Linked DNA regions of Stegostoma tigrinum. The protein of the gene in region 3 purifies or fractionates together with the protein of the main gene of each other region. This does not show direct contact. Links are inferred from orthologs where the notes say so. Each region holds a gene or a part of one and is shown on either strand. Other genes may lie near its edges.

The links. The genes of interacting proteins can lie anywhere in the genome.
Region 1: the proteins of zc3h18 (region 3) and sf3a1 purify together in Homo sapiens (affinity purification with mass spectrometry; 3 studies listed by BioGRID and IntAct, with this or other methods). This does not show direct contact. The link is inferred for Stegostoma tigrinum from reciprocal best matches to the Homo sapiens genes ZC3H18 and SF3A1.
Region 2: the proteins of zc3h18 (region 3) and virma purify together in Homo sapiens (affinity purification with mass spectrometry; 3 studies listed by BioGRID and IntAct, counting the BioPlex papers as one, with this or other methods). This does not show direct contact. The link is inferred for Stegostoma tigrinum from reciprocal best matches to the Homo sapiens genes ZC3H18 and VIRMA.

Annotation. Positions count from the first base shown.
Region 1 is NC_081379.1:23,031,532-23,039,046, reverse strand, and holds the start of sf3a1 (splicing factor 3A subunit 1), read right to left. Parts: upstream 3,019-7,515; 5' UTR 2,928-3,018; coding exon 2,874-2,927; intron 1,262-2,873; coding exon 1,149-1,261; intron 1,061-1,148; coding exon 859-1,060; intron 1-858. Other genes in the region: ccdc157 (coiled-coil domain-containing protein 157), read left to right, coding at 6,001-6,248. UniProt on the Homo sapiens protein: Component of the 17S U2 SnRNP complex of the spliceosome, a large ribonucleoprotein complex that removes introns from transcribed pre-mRNAs.
Region 2 is NC_081358.1:91,435,400-91,443,031, forward strand, and holds the start of virma (protein virilizer homolog), read right to left. Parts: upstream 3,019-7,632; 5' UTR 2,968-3,018; coding exon 2,908-2,967; intron 1-2,907. UniProt on the Homo sapiens protein: Associated component of the WMM complex, a complex that mediates N6-methyladenosine (m6A) methylation of RNAs, a modification that plays a role in the efficiency of mRNA splicing and RNA processing.
Region 3 is NC_081369.1:66,842,972-66,849,982, forward strand, and holds the start of zc3h18 (zinc finger CCCH domain-containing protein 18), read right to left. Parts: upstream 3,025-7,011; 5' UTR 2,879-3,024; intron 2,032-2,878; exon of another isoform or gene 1,898-2,031; intron 1-1,897.

The DNA of each region.
Region 1 (7,515 bases), on a different chromosome or scaffold from region 3:
GCATCTGTGATACTAGGGGGCACTGAAGGAAACCGAGACAGATCATCCACTTGTCACTTCTGGCTAAAGACTGCTGTGAATGCTTTAGCCTTATCTTTTGCACGGACGTGCTGGGCTGTTCCATCATTGAGGATGGGGATATTCATGGAGCTTCCACCTCCAGTGAGTTGTTTGGTTGTCCATCTCAATTCATGATGTCAAGTGGCAGGATTTCAGAGCTTAGATCTAATATATTGATTGCGGGGTCACAAAACTCTGTCTATCACTTGCTGCTCATGCTGTTTGGTAGCTTTGCCAGGTTGACACCTCATTTTTAGGTATGCCTGGTGCTGCTTATGGCATGCCCTCCTGCACTCTCCATTGTAATAAAAATTTGGTGGTTCAAAGTCAGAACTGAAATGTTAAATCTTTCTTCCTTCTCCATAGATACTGCCAGTGTTGTTGAGTAATTACGGCATTTTTAGTTTTCATATAAAATTTACACCATAACTTCATGGAGTCACCCCTCCCATTTCAGAGGATTCTAACAGCATTACACCCTCCAAAATCTGTGTCTTCAATTCTGTCCTCCTTTTCCTAATCTTAATTACTCCACCTTCCACAGCCATGTTTTCATTGCTAAGGCTATAAGTATGGAATTCCCTCTGTAAGCCACTGCCTTAAATGCTCTCTTTTCCCTTGAGATGCTCCCCAAAATCCTCCTTTTTGATCAAGTTGTCGATTAGCCATCCTGATATTTACTCAGAATATTCAGTGTCAAATTTCATTTATTAATACTCATGTGAAATGTTTCAAGACATTTATCTGTTAAGAAGTATTTACATAATTACAAACTATCATTACCGTCAAATTACTCACCTTCTGCGGCAGCTGTTGTTGCTGCTGCTGCTGCTGCATAACCTTCGGTATAGCAGCTGAAGGTTCTTGTCCTTTCCCCTCCTTGAACTCATTAACCTTGTGCCGGTAATATGCATGGTAAGGATCATTTGGATTCAAGAAGTTAAACTTGGAGTTGTTTATCTCATTTTGACGGATTCGAGCTTCAAATTCAGGACCATTCCTAATCAAAGCAAAATGATTTGCACTTTTAAACTCAAAGGGTTTAGTATAGCAAATACAACATGCAGTTGTTGGAATTTAGCACTCACCTCGCTACAAAACTTGCAGTCTTATCTACGATGTTTCTGACTTCAGGAGGAGGATAAATAATACCAACAATGGGTTTGGATGTTGCAGATTCATCTTTTGTTTCTTCTGGCAACTTTAAAAGAAAATTAAACAAGTGTCACTAAATTCTTAATCATCTTTAAGCAGCTTAATGACTTTAAAAATTATCATAATCATAAGTTCATGTCTGCAGATGACAGAATCAGATTGTAGAAATGACACTTTTGTTCCAATTAACCGCCAAAACACATCATTCGTTGAAATAAAAACACTCATGCTATGTTAGGATGGCAACAGCACATATACTTCAGCACAATTTATGCTGATGACCAAGCCGTTGAGGTAAATTATAGGAAGTCGCTACCTCCCCAACTGTTTTGACATACCAGTTGTCCAATCATCATGCTGGGGTCTGGACTGGAGTAAACAGGTTAATACAGCTCCAAAATCACATATCTGAGAACAACATTTTCAAATACTGCAAAAACTAAAACCAGACAAGTGCACAGCACTCCAAAGCACTATGCTAATCTGTCTCATTGATGGATTACAGCTGCCAAAGGGGTACAGAATTCTCCCTAGTTAGCTGAAGATATCATTACAGTCAATATGCTACAAAGGTGGTCTACCTGGGCAAGCAGCAAAGTATATTTCAGTGCTTTGTGATGGTAGACTGCACAATTTTAACTCATCATAAATTGCCATCACCCCTCCGCAAAGCAAACAATATTACTTTTTGGATTTTTTTGCCTAAGATTTTTGGACTTGGAACACGTGCATTCTTTTCAGTTTTTCTACCTATACTGTATTGGGCAAATGAAAACTTGTTAGTTCCGTAAAGATCCATGCTAATTATTTACTGTTGTACTGGGATCGAGCACATCTGGACCATATGAACTCGAGAATATACAATTTGACTACAATTTAGGTGCCCTGTAGTGTACTTTGTTCACCTCCATCTTCTCCGTCCAACTGACAGATAAACTTTTATCCGCACCTACTTTAATGACAATACCATAATGCTATAAAAGTAATCAGTAATAGTTGTAATACTAAAGTCTTTTAACATAAGCTGTTTTACAATATTCAGCACTTCAAAGTATCGTATTTCCCATTATCAACTGTTTACGAATGTGTGCAGGCTGGACGAAGGGATTTATTTAAGTAACGTATAACCATCCGGATTGCAGGCTGACAACACGGCCGATTTTAATGCATGATAAACACAGCCCTTGTTGCCTCTGAACGACCGGACACTTGTGATAAATCAGACTAACATTCCGCCAACGTGTGGATTATTTACACACATTTGGAGGAAGAGTCACCGGATCAGAAACATTAACGCTTTTTTTCCTTCACAGATGCTGCCAAACCCGCTGAGCTTTTGCAGCAACTTTGTTTTTGTCCCCGATTTACAACATCCACAGTTCTTTCGCATTTAATTTTGTGTGAATTATTTGATCGTGCGCCTGACAGATTTTTCCAGGACTCAGCTTGCATAACCAACAGATAATACAGCCTGGAGAAAGGATAATAGCCACGAGCTCGGAATCCGGGGATCCAAGACCAATATGCGAGTTCCAGGCCCAGAGCCTGCGGTTTGGAGGCCTCAGTTTTCTCTTATTCTGGCATGGATGGGGGGGGGGGGGGGGCACCACACCGGGCCAAGGTTTTTTTTTGAAACCTCTTTCTGTTTTAAAACCCACCTGGTTATTTTCAGTCTGAGGTGGCGGCAACGCCTGTACAGGTCCGGCCGGCATGGCTTCGGCACCGAACAGGGTTTAGAAGTGCAATCCCCCACCCCAGCCGTTCCGCGAACAAAACTCGGGCTAAACAAGATGGCGGCTACGGCCCGCACCATCCACCTCTTCATGGGGGGGGGGAAATGGGATATGCACATAACATAAAAGTTCTTCCCACACATTTAATTCGGTTTCCATCTCTCACCACCGTTTAATTATTCACTACTTTTCTTATAATACTGTTTTTATTATGTTTGAACGGTAAAGTCTCGTGTTTGTTGTTAGTTTGCCTGGCACAGTCCTTACGTCTTATGACGAGCAGGTACGTAAACGCACGATGACGTTACAGTTACGTTACGTGCGTCCATGACAGCACGTAGTCAACAGCCGGAGTGAAGCTAACGGTCAATCGCAGGTAGGTACAGGCTCAGTGACGAAGTTTGAATCAACCTCATCAGGCGCACCTTTGGAGTCGGTGAAACTTGATTCTAGGACTTCATACCTAAAATTATTTGTCCAGCGTATTCCCATCATGCCACTTCTTGCCGCCGCGATATATCTTGGGCTTGGAACCCTGGTGCTAACAAATGAATGATTCATTGCTTATTCAATATGGGGCAAATTTCGGCTCAGTGGGATGCGGAGGGGGGCGTGGGTGCTTTGAGGTTTTGAAATGCAGCCGTCCCCCCCGTCCCCCCCCACCATGACCAAACACGTCCGTTGGGGGTGCTCCTCTTCTCCACACCCGCCCTCTGAGGATGTGTTTCCCTCCCCTTCCTCGAGGTGATTCGTCCTCCATCCCCCTCCTGCTTGAGGTTTCCTTCTCCTTCCTGAAGTGCTTTTCCCTTAAACTTCCTCAAGGTGCTTCTTCCTTCCACCGCAATGTCCCTTCCCCCAACCTCCCCTCTAGATACTATTCCATCTGAGGCAGTGCTTTGGGACTGATGCTGACTCACTTCCATTGGTTCTCAAATGTCCAAGCAGTCCAATGCACCCATTTGCAAAGTCTGTTACATGTGGGGCAAAGTTGGTGCTGTTTGACTGACTGACTGACTGCCTGGGGGTGCAGGAATCGTTTGGAGGTTTTACCCAAAACCTTGACTTCGTCTCAACAAGGTTTCTGCATGTGTTCAGCGATTTCCTGAATGAATCTTCTTATTTTGGTTCCCACACAAGCCAGGTCGAGGGGAATGTTTGACCTCTTTAAGGGTGTTTTAAGGACTGCCTAAAGCATTTCCACAGTCTTCCTTTTGCAACAGAATAGATAAGGTAAACTATTTCCGCTGGCTGGCAATTTTCAAACAAGGAGTATGTAGTCTAAAAGTTAGGGGCAGGCTATTCAGGAGAGGTGTTAGGAAGCACGTCTAGACACACAGAGGGTGATAGAGGTTTAGAACTCTTCTGCAGACAGTAATTGATGTTAAATCAGTAGCCAATTTTAAATCTGAGGTAGATACATTTTTGTTAAGCAAAGGTATTAATGGGATGTGGACCAAAGATAGGTATGTGGGAATTTAGGCCACAGATCAGCCATGTCTCATTGAATGGTGGATCAAGTTCAAAGGACTACTCCTGTTCCTATGTTCTTATAAGCAAGTTCTGAGTAGAGCAGTTGCTTCAGGAGCCTGGTGTCAGGCTATGAACAACATGTCTTACCTCATCGAGCTAGTTTTAATTGATCAGTCATGATGCTGGACAAATTGACTTGGGAAATGCTGCTTTTGGTCCATCTTTCCTGATGTCGGAAGATAGAACATAGAACTGTGCAACACTGAAACAGGCTCTTTGCCTCAACATGTCTGTGCTGACCATGATGCTGTTCTAAACTATTCTCATCTGTCTGCACATAGTCTTTAGCCCTCTACTCCCTGCCTGTTCATGTGTCTGTCTAAATGCCTCTTACACAGTGCTGTTGTGTCTGCTTAACCACTCTTCTTTGCAGTGCATTCCAGGCACGCACCACCCACTGTGTAAAAATAAAAATTTGCCTCGCATATCTCCTTTAAACTTGGCCCCCTCACCTTAAACCTATACGACCTAGTATTTGAATCCCAAGAAGGCCCATGAACATGCTAACTGTTGATTCTTCGTCCAACTGACTCTTTCATCGTGTGAGCAGATTTTTTTAAACAATAGAAGACACTGCTGCCAAATATAATCTTTTCTTCTCTTTGTCAGCCCCAAACAACTACTTCAACTTCTTGGACGATGAATAATGAGCCTTATCTAATTTCCTCTGTCATCCCTCCTTCCACTGAATTCCTCCAGAAAAATAATGTAAAGAAGGATCTTTTTAAGTATTTATGCAAGATGCAGAAATTACCAAGATGCTTTTGTATCTATAACAGTAGTTGGTTTTGTTCTCAATCAAGGCTACAGAATTGTGATTACTCCAATACAACATTCTACTGCAGAATTATAAATCAGAAAGCTGTTAGAATGGTTGCAATTTCTGCATATAAAGCATGGTGTAAGGGACTTGCATTTTCCCCCTCCATCAGTTCCATTAAATCCTATTGTTAATAAACAACTATTAACTTCAGGAAATAATTTTTTAAATTACCCAAAAATTGAATTCCATGCCTAATTCTTTCATTTAGGAAACATAAATATTAGTAGTAATGGCTGTTGGGCAGATATTTTTATTGTCATGTGTGATATTAGTAAACCAGCACTACTGGAAAACTATGAACGTTCATTATCACTGTGGTTCGTGTAAAATTCTGTCAATTCTTTTGACAGCAACTGCCAACATATTAAATATTACTGCTTTGTATGTAGACTTATACTTGCAATAATTTGTAGATCATATTGTGCATTAAGTCGTGTGAAAATATTTTTAATCTGGTAGCAGATATTTTATAAGGTTAGTACAAAGTAAACAATACTGTATTTACATTAAATTACAACTTAAAGGTGATATTTGCTTAAAATCGTTGAATCAACTTTCTTAATCTAATTATTTTCTATTTCTTGCAGATAAATTGCCCTCGTGGAGTTATTATTACAGGCTCAGATACTTTATACAGAAATAGCAGTTTCAATTTTCATAAGAAGGTGCATTTCATATTCTGATTTCAAGGCCATTAAAATGACACTACTTTTAGGAAATCAAAACTGTTTGGATGGTTTGCGCAAGGATGTCACAGATGTACAAGGGATAATCATAGATGTATTTTCACGAGTTGGTGCAGTTCGCTATCCATCATGGAAGTTTCCAGATAAAACATCATGTGATTTGGATCTTGTTACTTTATTGAACCGTTTTGATTATGTAGAAGATGACCCAGAGTTCACACAGCATTCTCATATTGTGCTATTTGAGTTGGTGATTGACAGGTAAGGTACAAGTTGTTCTTTGGCTTTTCTCCAGAAAGTACCAAACATGCTCACAATAATTCATGCTGGAAACAATCACAATCTACAGTGGTAATGCCTCATGCACATAGAATGTCAGCAGATGTTTACTTCCTTCTGACCACTTAACCCATTATTTTTGTGCCTCAATTTTGCCAAAATAGAAGTGACTTATTTTTCATTAATTGAGGTAATACTCAATGAGGATATGCCTAAGATCCACACTTACTTACATTGTTCTGTTGCTGCTGTTTTCAGTAATTGTTCTATGCTGAGATGTTGATTTCTCTGAATGGAGTTTTTGAAAATTACTCAAATATTTTGGAAGTACCTGTACAAATATTGTCTATTTCTTTTATTGTTGTAGCAACTCTGTTCACAGGCTGTTGTTGATCCCGGACCACATAAAAACAGGTGTTGAAAGATTTAAATTCCAAGGTTAAATTTTATGATATTAATTAAATGTCATCAAATGTAATTTAGTGATCCAAAAAACATTTGAATAATAAAATAACTATTTTCAAGAGAATGATTAAATAAATTTGTTTGTTTGTCCAGACCTGTTCATCCAGAAGCAATCTTTCCCCTCGAAACTTTGTGACATATCCCAAATTGATAATGGAAAGTCCTGTAATACCGAGTACCATCCTTTCAGAAAGCCAAACACCTTGGTTGAACTATGGTTGGAATACTGCTATATCACCTTAAAAGGATGGGTATCTTGGGGAAATCTTAGAGGTGGATAAGGAATTAGTTGTAAGTAACAAAGAAGAGAATTAATGGAAATTCTTGGCAGGTTTGACACAAAAAAGATGAAATATGAGATTATTAGCATTGGACTAACTTATCTCTGTACTATAATTTTCTTAAAATTGGGTAATGGGCTAGCTGGGAGAAAGAGTGATCAATATCTAGCAATGATATGAGAATCAACAGTTACAATATCCAGTCATTTGCAGAGCAGCAATCAAGAAGAAAGGGCACAAAATACTGAATATCACTGCCAAATGAAATGGTATAAACATGAAGCTAAAATTTTAGCTAACACACTCCACTCATACCATACGTTGAAGGTTGTGTTTAGCTTTGGTCAGAAAGATGAGTGGGAAACATTCAAGCAGAGAAGGGTCACAGGACTAATCCTACATGTCAGAGGACCACTTTCTGAAGATGGTGTATAATGTTTTAATAAATAACATTATCTAGTAGAGAGCATGGTGGCTCAGTGGTTAGCACTGCTGCCTCACAG
Region 2 (7,632 bases), on a different chromosome or scaffold from region 3:
TGCAAATAGGAGGCAAAGGGTAAAGGTGGAAGATTTTTTTTTACTGGGAAGCTTGTGAACAGTGGTGTTCCACAGGGTTCAGTGTTGAGACCCTTGCTCTTTGCAATGTATATTAACAACGTGGATGTGAATGAATATGGTATAATTAGTAAGTTTGCAGATGACATGAAAATTATTGGTGTTATTGGTGATGAGGAGGATAATCTTAGGCTACTGTCTGATATTGATCATGTGGTAAATTGGGTACAGCGATGGCAAATGGAATTTAATCTTGACAAGTGAGAAGTGATGCATTTTGGGAAGTCTAATAAGGGAAGAATAAGTACAATGAACAGTAGGTCCCTACAGAGGACTAATGAACAAAGGGACCTTGATGAATAAGCCTACAGATTCCTGAAAATGTCAGCACAGGTAAAAAAGGTGCTGAAGAAGGCATATGGGATGCTTGTCTTGATTAAGTGGGGTGTAGAATATAGGAGCAAGAAGTCTTGTTACAACTTTATAAAACATTGTTTAGGCCACAGATGAAATATTGTGTGCAGTTCTGGTTGCCACACTATTAGAACGGCATGACTGTATTGGAGATTCACCAGATGTTGCCTAGGATGAAATGTCTCATTTATGAGGAGAGACTGAATAGGCTGGGTTTATTTTCTTGAAGCAGAGGAAGCTGTGGGGGGGGGGGGGGGGGGGGGGGGGGTGCTGGGCGCGGGATCTGATTTGAAGTATACAAGATTATGAGAGGCATAGATAGGGCAGATTGTGAGAATCATTCCTCCACGCCAGACATGTCTAAGACCAGATAGCACAAGTTTAAGATGAGGAGCAAGTGGTTTAGAGGGGATCTGGGGAAAAAATGTTTTCACCCACAGGGTGGTAGAAATATGGAATGTACTACCTGAGTGGATGGCTGCGATGGGTAGGTGCGCAACATCTAAGAAGCATCTGGATGAGCACTTAAAATACCTCAACATAGTAGGCTATAGACCAATTCAGGGTAAATGGGTTTGGATAACTTGATATTTGTTGATTGGCATAGACATGGCAAGCTGAAGGGCCTCTTTCTATGCTGTATGACTCTATAACATCAAGGTTGTAGATTCTTGAATTTAAATTTACTTATTAGGAAAATGGTCAAAGTTTACCTTAGATTTAAAACAGTACAGTATTGTACAGTTCAAGTTATGGCATTGATAAGGTCCAAAGTCTAAAGTCTAAAAACTGGTTATATTAGTTAAAGATCATCACAGACACAACTCCAAGACATATCAAGATTCAGCTCCGATTTGCAATCAATTTCCAAACCCCTGTCAGAATCAAACTTAATTTTAATGTCCCTCCTTAATAACAGCCTGGTACTTTGTACAGGTCACAGAAAGAAATGCCACAAAAAGAAAACCAGATTTATGAAGCATTACCATCACCCATATTTCAACTTGAAAGAGTATCTTCAGCAGAAAGTAATTTCAGACAACAATATGAGACCATAGAAAAAGCAGAAACATTTGGCAAACTATAACTAGGTTGCTGTGTTTCAAAATACTATGTCCTGCCAATTAACTTTACAACTAATAATTTTATTCTTTTGTGTTTAGCAGGAAAAGTAAATCTATTTTTCCTGCAAATCGAACAATTCAGTTTAAGTCATGCTGTTTGAATTTTTTTAATATTACAATTCAGTTACACTACTAGCGCTGCACAGAATAAATACTTTTATCAACAATTGTCCCAGCAATACACTAAGGTCCAAATATTTTGAAGGTATGAGATGAAATCATATGCAACTTCAATTCAATTCATTTGTAGATCCACATTAAAAAGATATCATCTCAGTCAAGAACATCATTAAACCAGTGTATTTTCATCAAAATCCCATCTGGTCCATCAATGTGCTGTGGGAAAGAAATCTGCTAGCTTTGCCCAGTCTGGTTGTGACTCCAGCTCCACTCAATAATGGCAGTTTCTTAACTATCCTCTGAAACATAAACCTGATTATCAAAATTGACGCCGAAATATTTAAAGCAACTATCATCAGGAACTAAGATAATGGTCAAATTCACTCTGACTTTCCCTGTCTTCAGTTCTCTACTGAAACTGAAGCTTTTAACAAAAAAATTACCATGCTGTGTACAAACGTGAACATTTAAATCCAATAACAGCAGCAGAATCTACTAACTAAAGATATTTCATGCAGACAAGTACAAATCTATAATCTAATTTTCCCTTATTATAATTTGAGGACCTGTGTTAGCCAACTACTGCCGATTCAGCTGCATAACATCTGAGAAAATTGTGAACACTAGCATTCTTGGTTTGTAAAACGTGATCTCCTACAATGTTTCAGATTTGCCCTACATAAGTTGGCAAAATGAAATTGGTGTATAACACAAGGAGTTAAAGCTAAAATAGCTTACAATGTTTTATGCTGTCTCTCGTTTCAAAAACTGTTTGCAATCAACGCATCTCATTCTCGTTCATCAAGTTATCCCGCGAAAGCGCTGCACAGAAATCGCTAACAATTCCTTCAAATCAAGTGAAACTACTTTAAAATCTAGTCCCGATTTTCAGATCAACTCTTTAATTGGGCTCAACGTGGGGGAAAGGGGGCGGAACTATCACTTGAACAGAAACAAAACAAACATGCAACACTGGAGGACAAGGAGGTAGGGGAGACTTTAGCAAGTCGAAACTATCGTGTGTACCACGCAATTTGAAGGCTATGTCGGGCCACCAACAGAGGAAAGGGCACAAATCCTGGGTCGCTATACCACCGCAGCCAGATCCCAGCGTCTCCGCGATTAAAGGCCCAGTTCCGGCTGCAACACCCCGAGCGCTATTTACAAAAGCAGCTGCAACAAGAGAAGCCGGTCCCGATGAATGACTAAAAAGGCGGCCGCAGGGATTTACCTCCGAGTTTGAGTGTTTGAACGTATCTAGAAACAACAGCTCTGCCGCTGTGTCCGCCATGTCTCCTCATGCGTCACTTCCTTGCCAGATACTTCCGACTGCCCATGGCGCATGCCCGGTGAGTAGGATGTGGACGGTTGGGACGGAGGGGAGCGGTCGGAGCGAGTTGTGTAGTGGTGTTTACATCGTGTATCTCAGTCATGGTTTTAAAAACCCGAAAGGAAAGTGTCATCGGGAATGAGCGACAGTTAGCAAACTGTAATAATCGAACTCCCCTCATGTTCCAGGCTACAACCTACAAACAGGGAATTTATCTCTTCTTTTGGGATCCTTTGGAAGGCATTGGCTGATTATATGGATTGAAGTAATGTACTGTGCGAGGATTTGGAGTAGTAGGACAGGAAACTGGCAGTAAGTAATGACGGAACAAAAACAGAAGTTGCTAGGAAAGCTCAACAGGTCTGGCAGTATCTGTGAAGAAAAAAAAAATCAGAGTTAACGTTTCGGGTCCAGTGACCCTTCCTCAGAATAACGCTCGTTCAGGCACGATGGGTCGAATGGCCTCTCGCGCCCATCCTTGTGAAGGTGGTCGTTTCAGAGATAGTAGGAACTTGCAGGTGGTGAGTTGCCATGTTTTTGAACCACAGCTGTCCGTGTTCAGTAGGTACGCTGCACGCCCACCAATGATGCTGTGATTGAAGAAAGAAAGCAATATCCTTTGTCCCACATTGAAGTTGGCATATACCAGGATTCTCAGGGATCTTTCTGTTTAATATAGTATCAGCTCCCTTGTGTCAATACCACATTTTCATTGTATACAAAGTGTAGAGCTGGATGAACACAACAGGCCAAGCAGCATCTTCGGAGCACAAAAGCTAACGTTCCCATTATCTATGAATTAAGAGTTGATGGGCAGTTTAACTCTTCAAGTGCTGTATCATTCATGGCTTGTTTGATTGTAACTTCAACACTTCCCACCCACCCCCCCCACCCTGCCCATTCCTGTACCTTTTAACTCCCTCAGTTTGTCTTAATACATTGACTGCTGTTAAAGGAAGAGACTTTTAAAGCCTCACAGTTCTTTGAAAGGAAATATTTCTACTCACTTTTGTATTAAATTAAATGGTTAAAATGCCACCTCTACTCTCATCCACAAGAGGAAATATACTTTTGGAACCCATCCATTTAGGAATATAGGAACAGTGTAGCCAGTCACCCCATTCGGCTTGCCCCTACATTCAATGGCTGATCAAACACCTAAACCACCCTTACCATAACTGTACACCATTGGAAATCAGAACTGTTATCAATATCCACCTTAAATATGCTGAGCTTTCACAGCCTTGTTGGGCAAAGATTTCCAAAGGTTCGCAGCCCTCTAAGCAAAAAAAAGTGCTCTAGGTGTGGTCTCACGAATATCCATATTGAACAGACTAAAGGATAAGACCAGAAATACCAAAACTAGTATAAAAATGTCACATTTAAAGATGTCATATCTGACTTCATTAAGTATTCACTTCAAAATGGGTAACTTGTTAGCACAAATAGAAATAAATATGCCTGACTGGCACCTGTTAGTGAAGTGATTGCAAGGTGATCATGGCCATGACCTCAATATTAGGGGATATTTGGCATTTTAAAAATGCAGGTATCGAGGGAAAGATGGTGACAAAGCTTTTTTAGTTATGGATGTCATTAAAGTAAAATGTGACCTTAATTCAAAAGACGAAGTTGTAGTATAGTTTGGGTATGGCTCAAAATTTGGAAAGATAGAAGGTTAGTTGTGGGAGTAGTTTATTGGCCCCCAAACAGAGACTGTGAAACAGCACTGGGACAGAGCAAATAGGGAGTACAGGTATATGAGGCATATATAAAGGGTACTATAATGATTAGGGGTGACGTTAACCTGCAAGTATATTGGACAAATCAGATTGACAAAAGTAAGCAAGAAAGTGAGTTTTTAAGAGAATATCTGAGACATTTTCTTATAATGATACATTCTACAGCTAACTAGGAGCAGGCTGTTCTTGACTGGTAATGAACAATGAGACAGAATTAATCAGCAACATAATGGGAAAGGAGTTTCTTGGTGACTGTGATCAGAATAGAATTTCACATTCAGTTTGAAGCAATGAAGTTTGGTTCTAGGACCAGTGTTTTGAACATAAGTAAAGGTGACTAATTTGGATTTGAAGGGAGAACCTGCTAAAATAAACTGGAGGGCAGAGGAGATGCAGTGGCAGATTTAAATGATAAAGTGTGAAGCTCAATGAACACAGCAGGCCAAGCAGCATCTTAGGAGCACAAAAGCTGACGTTTCGGGCCTAGACCCTTCATCAGAGAGGGGGATGGGGAGAGGGTTCTGAAATAAATAGGGGGAGGTGGACGGAAGATGGAGAGAGGAGAGTATAGGTGGGGAGGTAGGGAGGGGATAGGTCAGTCCGGGGAGGACGGACAGGTCAAGGAGGCAGGATGAGGTTACTAGGTGGGAAATGGAGGTGCGGCTTAAGGTGGGAAGAGGGGATGGGTGAGAGGAAGGACAGGTTAGGGAGGTGGGGATGAGCTGGGCTGGTTTTGGGATGCAGTGGGGGGAGGGGAGATTTTGAAGCTTGTGAAGTCCACATTGATACCATTGGGCTGCAGGGTTCCCAAGCGGAATATGAGTTACTGTTCCTGCAACCGTCGGGTGGCATCATTGCAGCCCAATGGTATCAATGTGGACTTCACAAGCTTCAAAATCTCCCCTTCCCCTACTGCATCCCAAAACCAGCCCAGCTCGTCCCCACCTCCCTAACCTGTTCTTCCTCTCACCTATCCCCTCCAACCTCAAGTCGCACGTCCATTTCCCGCCTCCTTGACCTGTCTGTCCTCCCCAGACTGACCTATCCCCTGCCTACCTCTCCACATCTACTCTCCTCTCCACCCATCTCCTCCTCTATCCATCTTCGGTCCGCCTCCCCCTCTCTCCCTATTTATTTCAGAACCCTCTCCCCGTCCCCCTCTCTGATGAAGGGTCTAGGCCCAAAACATCAGCCTTTGTGCTCCTAAGATGCTGCTTGGCCTGATGTGTTCATCCAGCTCCACACTTTGTTATCTTGGATTCTCCAGCATCTGCAGTTCCCATTATTGCAGATTTAAATGAGATGTTTAAGAACACAGAGCAAATATTTATCCCAGTGAGAAAGAAAGACTGTTTGAGAAAGATGAATCATTGTGAGTAAATACGAAAGTTAAGCATAGTATCGAATTTAAAGGAACACGTTACATTTCTGCAAAGGTTGGCAGATTTTAAAGACCAGCAAAGAGTGCCTTTAAAAAGGGAGCAAATAAATGTAGCTGATGGTATAAAAACATTGTAGGAGTTTTTTTTAACTAATTTTTTAATTGGAAAATGAGAAACTAAAGCCAGTATTGGTCCTGCAGAGAGTCAGTCTAGAGATTTGATAGTGATAATGGATTACGGTAAAATGGTAGAGTCATTAAACAGGTATTTTGTATCTATCTAAGAAACTATCCATAGACACTTGAAATGGAGGAGTGGAAGACAAGGTGAAACTTAAAACAGTCGTCATCACCAGAACAAAGTGCTGAGAAAAATACAAAATCTAAAAAGTGACAGGTCCCTTTAAACTTTCCTGCCTGTACATGGACTTTGGAGGACATTGCATTGGAGGATGTTGTAATTTCTGGAACCAGATGTCAATGCATCTCCATGCCAGTTGGTGTGTGCAAAACTTCAAATGACTGGCAAATGCGGTGCTTGGAAGAAACATTGCTCAAGACATGATGGCATGCATCCTTGGGTTTTTTTTTAATAAAGTGGCTGCAAAAATAATAGAGGCATTAGTTATCATCTTTAACATTCCTTTGGTTCTTGAGGGATGTCAATGGATTGGAAAATAGCTCATGTAACACCATGAAGAAGAAAATCAAAAATAAATAACTATATTAAAAACAGTAAGTTGACTGTGTTTATCTCACCATAGATCCTGCTAGATTTGCTGAGTTTCCCCAGCATTTTCTGTTTTTATTTCAAATCTAAAGCATCTGCAGTACTTCACTTTTTTATTACTAGAATCTGCAGTTAAGTAGGTTATAGCAACACAGTTATGAAACAAGAATGAAATCAGGCAGAGTCAACATGTCTCTCTTAATTTCTGTGAGAGAAACCAGCAAAGTGTGTAAAGGGATTCCTGTGGATGTGGTGCACTTGGATTTCTGAGAGGCATTTGCTAAGGTGCCAAATCAAAGGTTACTGCAAAAAATAAGAGCTGGTGGTGTAAGTGGTAACATATTAGCACTATAAAGGATGATTGTCTAATAGGAAACAGAAAGTCAAGGATTTATTGTTGTTTTTGAATTGGCATTCGTAACAAGTGCAGTGCCACAGGAATCAATGCTGGGGACTCAGCTATTGACAATCAATGTCACTGAGTTGGATATGGGGACCAAATGTCTGATGGCAAAAGCATTTATAATTAATTCATGGATGTAGGCAGTGCTGACTAGATCAGGATTTATTGCCATCCCTAATTGCTCTGGACAAGGTGGTGGTGGTGTGCTGCTGTCTTGAAATAAAAACAGGAAAATAGGAGCAGGACATTTGGCTCTGCCATTTGATATAATCATGGCTGATCACCCAGCTCAATATCCTGTTAACTGTTTCTCCCTATACCTTTTGATACCTTTAGCCCTGACAACTATATATAACTACTTGAAAATATT
Region 3 (7,011 bases):
CCTTACCCCACAACCCCTTTAATAGGCTTCCCCTTACTGTTTAAAGAAAACAGTCGATTTCAGCTGTAATTATATTTTATGACCCAGTCTCTATAGCATAAGAATTCCATATATTCATTAACCTTGGAGAAGTTCTTCCTACTTCTGCCCTAACTAGGCAACTCCTTACTCTGTGATTGTGCCTTTTGGTCCAAATCACTTGAATACAGAAAACAAAATTTTCACATCTACCTTACATGCCCAAGAACCTTATATGCAGTTACCTAGTTTATCTTTCTCTCTTTTCTAAAATAACTGAGGGACACTTGTAATTGTCCAGTCCAAAGGTACAATTCTCAAACTAAACTGAATCTGTGGCATTTCTAAGAATAAAACTGGAACAATACAAATTTCAATTGATCTCCATTCCCGTACCTTGTCCTCATCTTTTGTTTTGATCCATTTGTGGATCAATTTCAAAGGAAAATTTTTAACAAGAGTTATCTTCCTTCATGCATATCCAAATTACAGTACTTCTGACATCACATGTAGGACTGATAGTTACAACAATGCATTAGAAATACACCGAGTACCAGCATTTACACAAATTTGGACAGAAAATTCAAACATTTCAACTAGATTCAGCACCTGCAACAGTCCACAATACTCCAGTACTGTACTACCTTGAGACCATTTAGAAACACAAATACATTTTAAATCAAGAAAGGTCTCAGAGATACTAAGAACTGCCAATGCTGGAGTCAGAGATAACACAGTATGGAGCCGGAGCAGCACTGCAGGCCAGGCAGTATCAGAGGGGCAGGAAAGTTAACGTTTCGGGTTGGGCCCCTTCACAGGCTCCATACTGTGTTATCTCTTAATCAAGAACAGTGGGGCTTTGCTAAAAATAGGCAAAAGGTTTCAAAAATCAAGACATGTAATCAGCCGGGGTCCACCAGGAGGATGATAATACATCAGTTCCTCTACGTCCATTGTCCTACAAGTCCATTGTTTCCACTGTAACTCAAAAACACTATTCTCTAGGTAGTAGATACTATCTTAAATCAGGACACACAGTTCCTGAAGTATCTCAATAATTGCACAGGAGCTCTACAGAGGACAAATTTAAATACTGCTGGACAAGAGGAGTTATGGCATTCACTCAAGGCAGGGGGACAACTTTACAAATCTATAACGGCATGAGATCAACTCAGCTTTGGGACTAGAGATAGTTTTGCAGTCAGAACGAACAATAAGTCATGACTGCAGAGCCAACTGCTAGATTTAACAGATCCACATGAGTAAGCTCTACATCATAATATTGATTTGGGTGCAGGTTGTTTTGGGCAGGACAATTACATTATTGTTTCCCCAAATCCCTCGACTGCCTCCTCCCTCTCTCTCTCAAGGATGGAGGATGTTAATCATTCTATGGGTGCAGTTTATCCCCACCATCTTGCATAACTGCGCCTTTTCAATGCCTAGACAGTTGGTACTGACAAGTTTTCTGAATGTGTAGCATTATAGTTCGGCCAGGTTCTCTCTCTACTCAAGCACTAGCATTAGTTAGAGGACAGTTATCAAATTAGCCAATGCTGAGAATATTGGCTGATGTTTCCCATGTGTTAAGGTGTTTTAAAGGCCAACTGTCTCAAACTTGACCTAAACGAGAAAAGGTATTCAACCCAGACTGGAAATGTAACCTGGATCATCTTGGTTTATACAGAGCAATAGCACACCAAGCAGTACATTTACCCAGTGTGCAAATTGAGAGAGGCAGGTAATAAGGGAATGCCACTTAGATCCAAGACGAGATTTTTTTTTAAAACACAGAGTTCTGAACTTTTGGAATTCTATGCCCAGAGGTCAGCACAGGCCCAGTTTTAAATATGTTTAAGAGACTGATAGATTTGATTACCTGTAATATACAGGATTACGGAGATGGGGTGGGGAAAAAGGCATTCATGTGTTCGACCAGCCACGATTACACTGAATGGCAGGGCAGGCTTGACAGGCTGAATGACCAACTCCTGTTGCGATATAATCCTGAATCTACAAATAAGTCCAAAATGATGTTCATTTTTTTTGCGCAAGTACATGCCTGCACTTCAAAATTAAGCAATCTGTAGCATGCATAAGATTTATAGATGGTTCTGCAGAATTTCACACTTCAGGGTAAATGACTTTCGACAGGAAGGATCTTGTAACCTGTTGCTTTACTTGCTCACTTTCCTATAAGAGAGTCTTCAATCAACCGAGGAATCCTTGGGATCCTCGTAAATTTTCCCAAATTACCCGATCCGCGCAGGGTTACTGGAAACTGAAATCTGGCGATTTGATTCAGTTGAGAACCAATCTTTTAACTCGGGGTGGGGGAACGGCATCAACTGGGATGCACACCTCAGACTGCAACACACTGCAGATCAGAGACAAGGCCATTTACAGGGATCAGTTTGCACACAAGGCCAATTGGGGACATGTGACATGAGGTATCAGCACTGGCACGGGAGGACAGAGAGAAGGCAAAAGGGCCTGCTTGGTAAAGGCAGCCCTAAAGGGCCGCCCACACCAATCCCCCGCCTCAACAACCTCAGGCTCCAGATGCATCGTAGCCGGCTCCTCGCTCGCTGTTATTGGCGCAGAGCGGGATCCCGGGTGTGGGGGCCCTCTACTACCTCAGCAGCTCCGACAAAGCCAAGACAACAACGGGAACTGCAATTCCTGACCCAGCTTCCCGCCCATGAGGAGCCCGAGGCCTAAAGGCCGAGTGCGGGGCTACCGCCAGTAAGAGGCCGAGGCCTACGATTTGTGTGCGCGAGCGAGTGAGCGGGGGGGGGGGGTGGGAGTTAGAGTAATCGCCGCTTCCCCTACACCCACCCCCCCCCGCCCGAGGACTCACCTGCACTTTAGTAGGCGGTATGCCGCAATGGGGGCCAAGCCGAGCGGGGCCGGGCCGCGCTCTGAGCGAGGGAACGGCGAGAGCGCGAGGCCGGGCCCGAGGCTGCAGCGAGCGAGCGCGAGCCGGGCAGCTCCGCCATTAGCGCCCGCCCATTGGCCGGGAGGAGTCAGCTGACTGTACGTGCCCCCCCCCCCACGACCTCGGGACACGCCCCCTTCCTCAGCCCAGGGAAAGGAAGAACCGAATGGCCACACGCCCGCTTGGACCCGGAGCCCGTTAGGGACGAACACAACCGCAGGCGCTGGAATCCAGGTAGACAAACAGGGGGCTGGGAGAAAGGAGCGGTCAGTGTTTTGGGTTTTACCCCCGCCCCCCCCCGCGTCCAGTCCTGAAGACAGCGAATGGCCGAAACGTTCACTGCTCCTTGGCCTGCTGTGTTCTTGTCCGGCCCTCGCCCGCCCCCGGGGATAACGGGAACTGCAGATGCTGGAGAATCAGAGATAACAAAGTGTGGGGCTGGATGGCTGGCGTTTCGGGCCTAGACCCTTGGTCAGAAAAGCTTCTTGATGAAGGCTCTGGGCCTGAAACGTCAGCTTTTGTGTTCATCCAGCCCCTCGCCTTGTTATCTCACCGGTTCCCGAGGCCTGTCCGGCCGTCAGCGGGAAATATTCAAACAGGGACCGCCTTTGCAACCAGTTCATTGGGCACATTCAGTCAGCTGATCTGGGACTTGAGTGAATGTGAGGTTGTGGGTTTCGGGGATTGTTGCCGCTGTTCAATGTCCACGGACGGCGAGGTATCTGTACCAAGCCCTGTCGGGAGGGGAATCGCTATGCCATGCCCGTACTTCATACAACTGTACAGCTCCGGAACAGGCCGTTCGGCCCACGAGATTGTGAGGAACATGACACTAAATTAAACCAATGCGCTTGGTACAAATCCCCGCATTCCTACCAAATTCGTGTGTTTGTCTAAAAATCCCTTAAATGCCCTTTATCGTATCTGCCTCCACCACCACCCCCACCAGCGCGTTCCAGAGTCCTACCACTCCATGTGTATAAAAAAAACTTGCCCCTCACATCTGTTTTGAAAATTCCCCCGTCATCTTAAATGCATGCCCCCAATAATAAAAATTTCAACTCTGAGAAATAGATTCTGACCGTCGACACACTCTATGCATCTCATAATTTTATAGATTTCTATCAAGTCTTTCCTCAGCCTCCACTGCTGCAGTGAAAACAGCCCGAGTTTTTTTTAACCCTCTCTTTGTCAGGTGAACTTGGATGTCAGATGAATGAGTGGCGCTCTGAAAGCGTTAGGGTTAGGTTTTGTCGTGTGACTTCTGACCCTGTCCACCCCAGTGCAATGCCAGCACCTCCACATCGTGTCCCTAATTAGGCTATACTTTTCCAAATGCATATAAATCCTATCTGTAAGAAATCTCGAGTAAAAAGGTTCCCAAACAGTGTGAGACTCAATGGTCTATAGTTTCCTGAATGATCCCTATTTCTCTTGAACGAACATTAGCTACTTGCTAGTCCTCCAGGAGCCCTCCAGTGGCTAATGAGGAGACAAAGATCTTGGTCAAGGCCCCCAGAAATCTCCCCTGTTGCCTCTTTCAATTACCTGGGTATTTACCATCAAGCCCTGGGGACACATCCACCTTAATGCTCTTCAAGAAACTCAAACTGCTTCTTTCTTGTCCTCAAAATTCCCTGGTATATGAGCATGCTCCACACTAATCTCACTATTTTCCATTTCCTTCTCCTGGGTGAATACTGATCCTAAGTACTCATTTAGGATCTTGCCCACATTCTCTACCTCCAAGCACAAGTTCCCTCCTTTATCCTTGAGTGACCCTGCCTCCTCCCAAGTTATCCTCTTGTTTTTAATGTTTGTACAGAATGCCTTGAGATTCTCTTTAGCCCTACTTGCCAAGGTCATTTCATTGCCTCTTGCCGCTCTTCTCATTCTCTGTTTGATTTCCTTTCCTGCTTTCTTTGTATTCTTCATGGGCCCTGTCCTATTTTAGCTTCCTAATCCTTACATATGCTTCCTTTTTTCCTTTTAACTAAATTCTCAATCTCCCTTGTCATCCAATGGTCCCTTACCTTGCCATCCTTCTCCTTCCTCCTTACTGGAATGTGCTGATCTGTGATTGCCTGATAACAGGTCCTCCCAATTAACACTCCCTAACTCCTGCCTAATATTTTCCCTCCCCGAATTCAGTGCCTTCCCACAAGGTCCTGACTTATTCATAGCTACAAAAACAGAAATTACTGGTAAAGCTCAGCAGTTCTGGCAGCATCTGTGAGGATAAATCGTCAGAACTGTGGGAGGGTCACTTGACCCGAATGGGAACTCTGATTTCTTTCCACGGATGCTGCCAGACCTGCTGAGCTTTACCAGCAACTTCTGTTTTCCTTTCTGATTTGTATCATTTGCCATCCTTTCCATTTTTACTTATTCATATTTATCCTAAAACTTAAGGAGTTGTGATCACTGTTTCCAAAATGCTCTTCCACTGAAAGGCTGTCACCTGGCCAGACTCATTAGCCAAACAAGGTCAAGTATGACCCTTCCTCTAGTTAGGCTATGTACATACTGTTTCAGAGAACATAGAAAAGTACAGGCCCTTTGGCCCACGATGTTGTGCCGTGGAATAATCCTAATCCAAAAATAAAATAACCTAACCTACACTCCCCTCAATTCACTGCTGTCCATGTGCATGTCCAGCAGTCGCTTAAATGTTACTAATGACTCTGCTTCCACGACTTCCACTGGCAAAGTATTCCATGCACTCACAAACCCCTTTGGATGCACTTAACAATTCTGCCCAGTCGAAGTCTCTTGCTCTAAGGGAGGCTCAGTCATTATTAGGGAAGTTAAAGTCATCACTATGACAGCCGTGTTGTTGTATCTTTCCATAATTTTCCTGCATACTTGATCCTCAATGTCTTGGTGGCTGTTGTATTAATCCTATTGGAGTGATTGCACCCTTCTTATTTTTGAGCTCTACCTGTATTGCCTCAGTGGATGTGCCCTCCAGCATGTCCCCTCTGAGTGCAGATGTGACTTTCTCCCTGATTAGTGATGCAACTGCACCTCTTTCACCTTCCTTTTCATCTCATCTAAAACAACAAAACCTGAAAATTTGAGTAACCACTCCTGTCACTCGTTAAACTGAGTCTCTATTGGTGACAACATCATAGTCCCATGTAGTGATCCAAGCTTTAAGCGCCCCAGCCTTACCTGTAATACTCCGTGTGATGAAATAAACACACTTCAGCCCATTAGTACCATCGTGCCTGCCCTTTCTTTCTGATTCACAGGTCCTAACATCTATCTTCCCCTCAATTCCTCCACTTGCTGACCTGCCGCTCTGGTTCCAATGGATCAGATCCAAGCTCGAAGTCCTGCCATATCCTGTCTTGAATGGTGATAAGACAATTGCAGAATTCAGTGGAGGAGAAGGTTGTACTAATGTTCCCATCCTCAATGATGGAAGGGCCCAACACATTAGCACAAAGGATTAGGATGCAGCTACAATTGCCAAGTGGACAATCCATCTCTGCCTTCACCAGTGGTCACCCGCATCACCAATGTCCATCTTCAGCCAATTTGATTTACTCCATGTGATATCAAGAAATGGTTGGAGGAACTGGATGCTGCAAAGACTGTGGGCCCTGACAACATCCAAGCAATAGTACTGAAAACTTGTGCTCCAGAACGTGCCACTCCCCTAGTCAAGCTATTATTTGTATTCCAGTACAATTACAATACTAGCATCTACTCAACAATATGGAAAATTGCCTAGGTATGTCTGTACATAAGAAGCAGAACAAATCCAACCTGGCCAATTACCGGCCCATCAGTGTACTATCAATCATCAGTAAAGTGATGGAAGGTGTCACTAACAGTACTATCAAGCAACACCTGCTCAGTGATGAGTTCTGCCAGGGCCACTCAGCTCCTGCCCTCATTACAGCCTAGGTTCAAAAAGAGCTAAATTCCAGGGGTGAGGTGTAAATGACAGCCCTTTTCATCAAAACCACATTTAACCAATTATGACATCCAGGAGGTTTGGAAAAACAGGAATCATTGGCTATCAGGTGAAAACTCTGCTGGTTGAA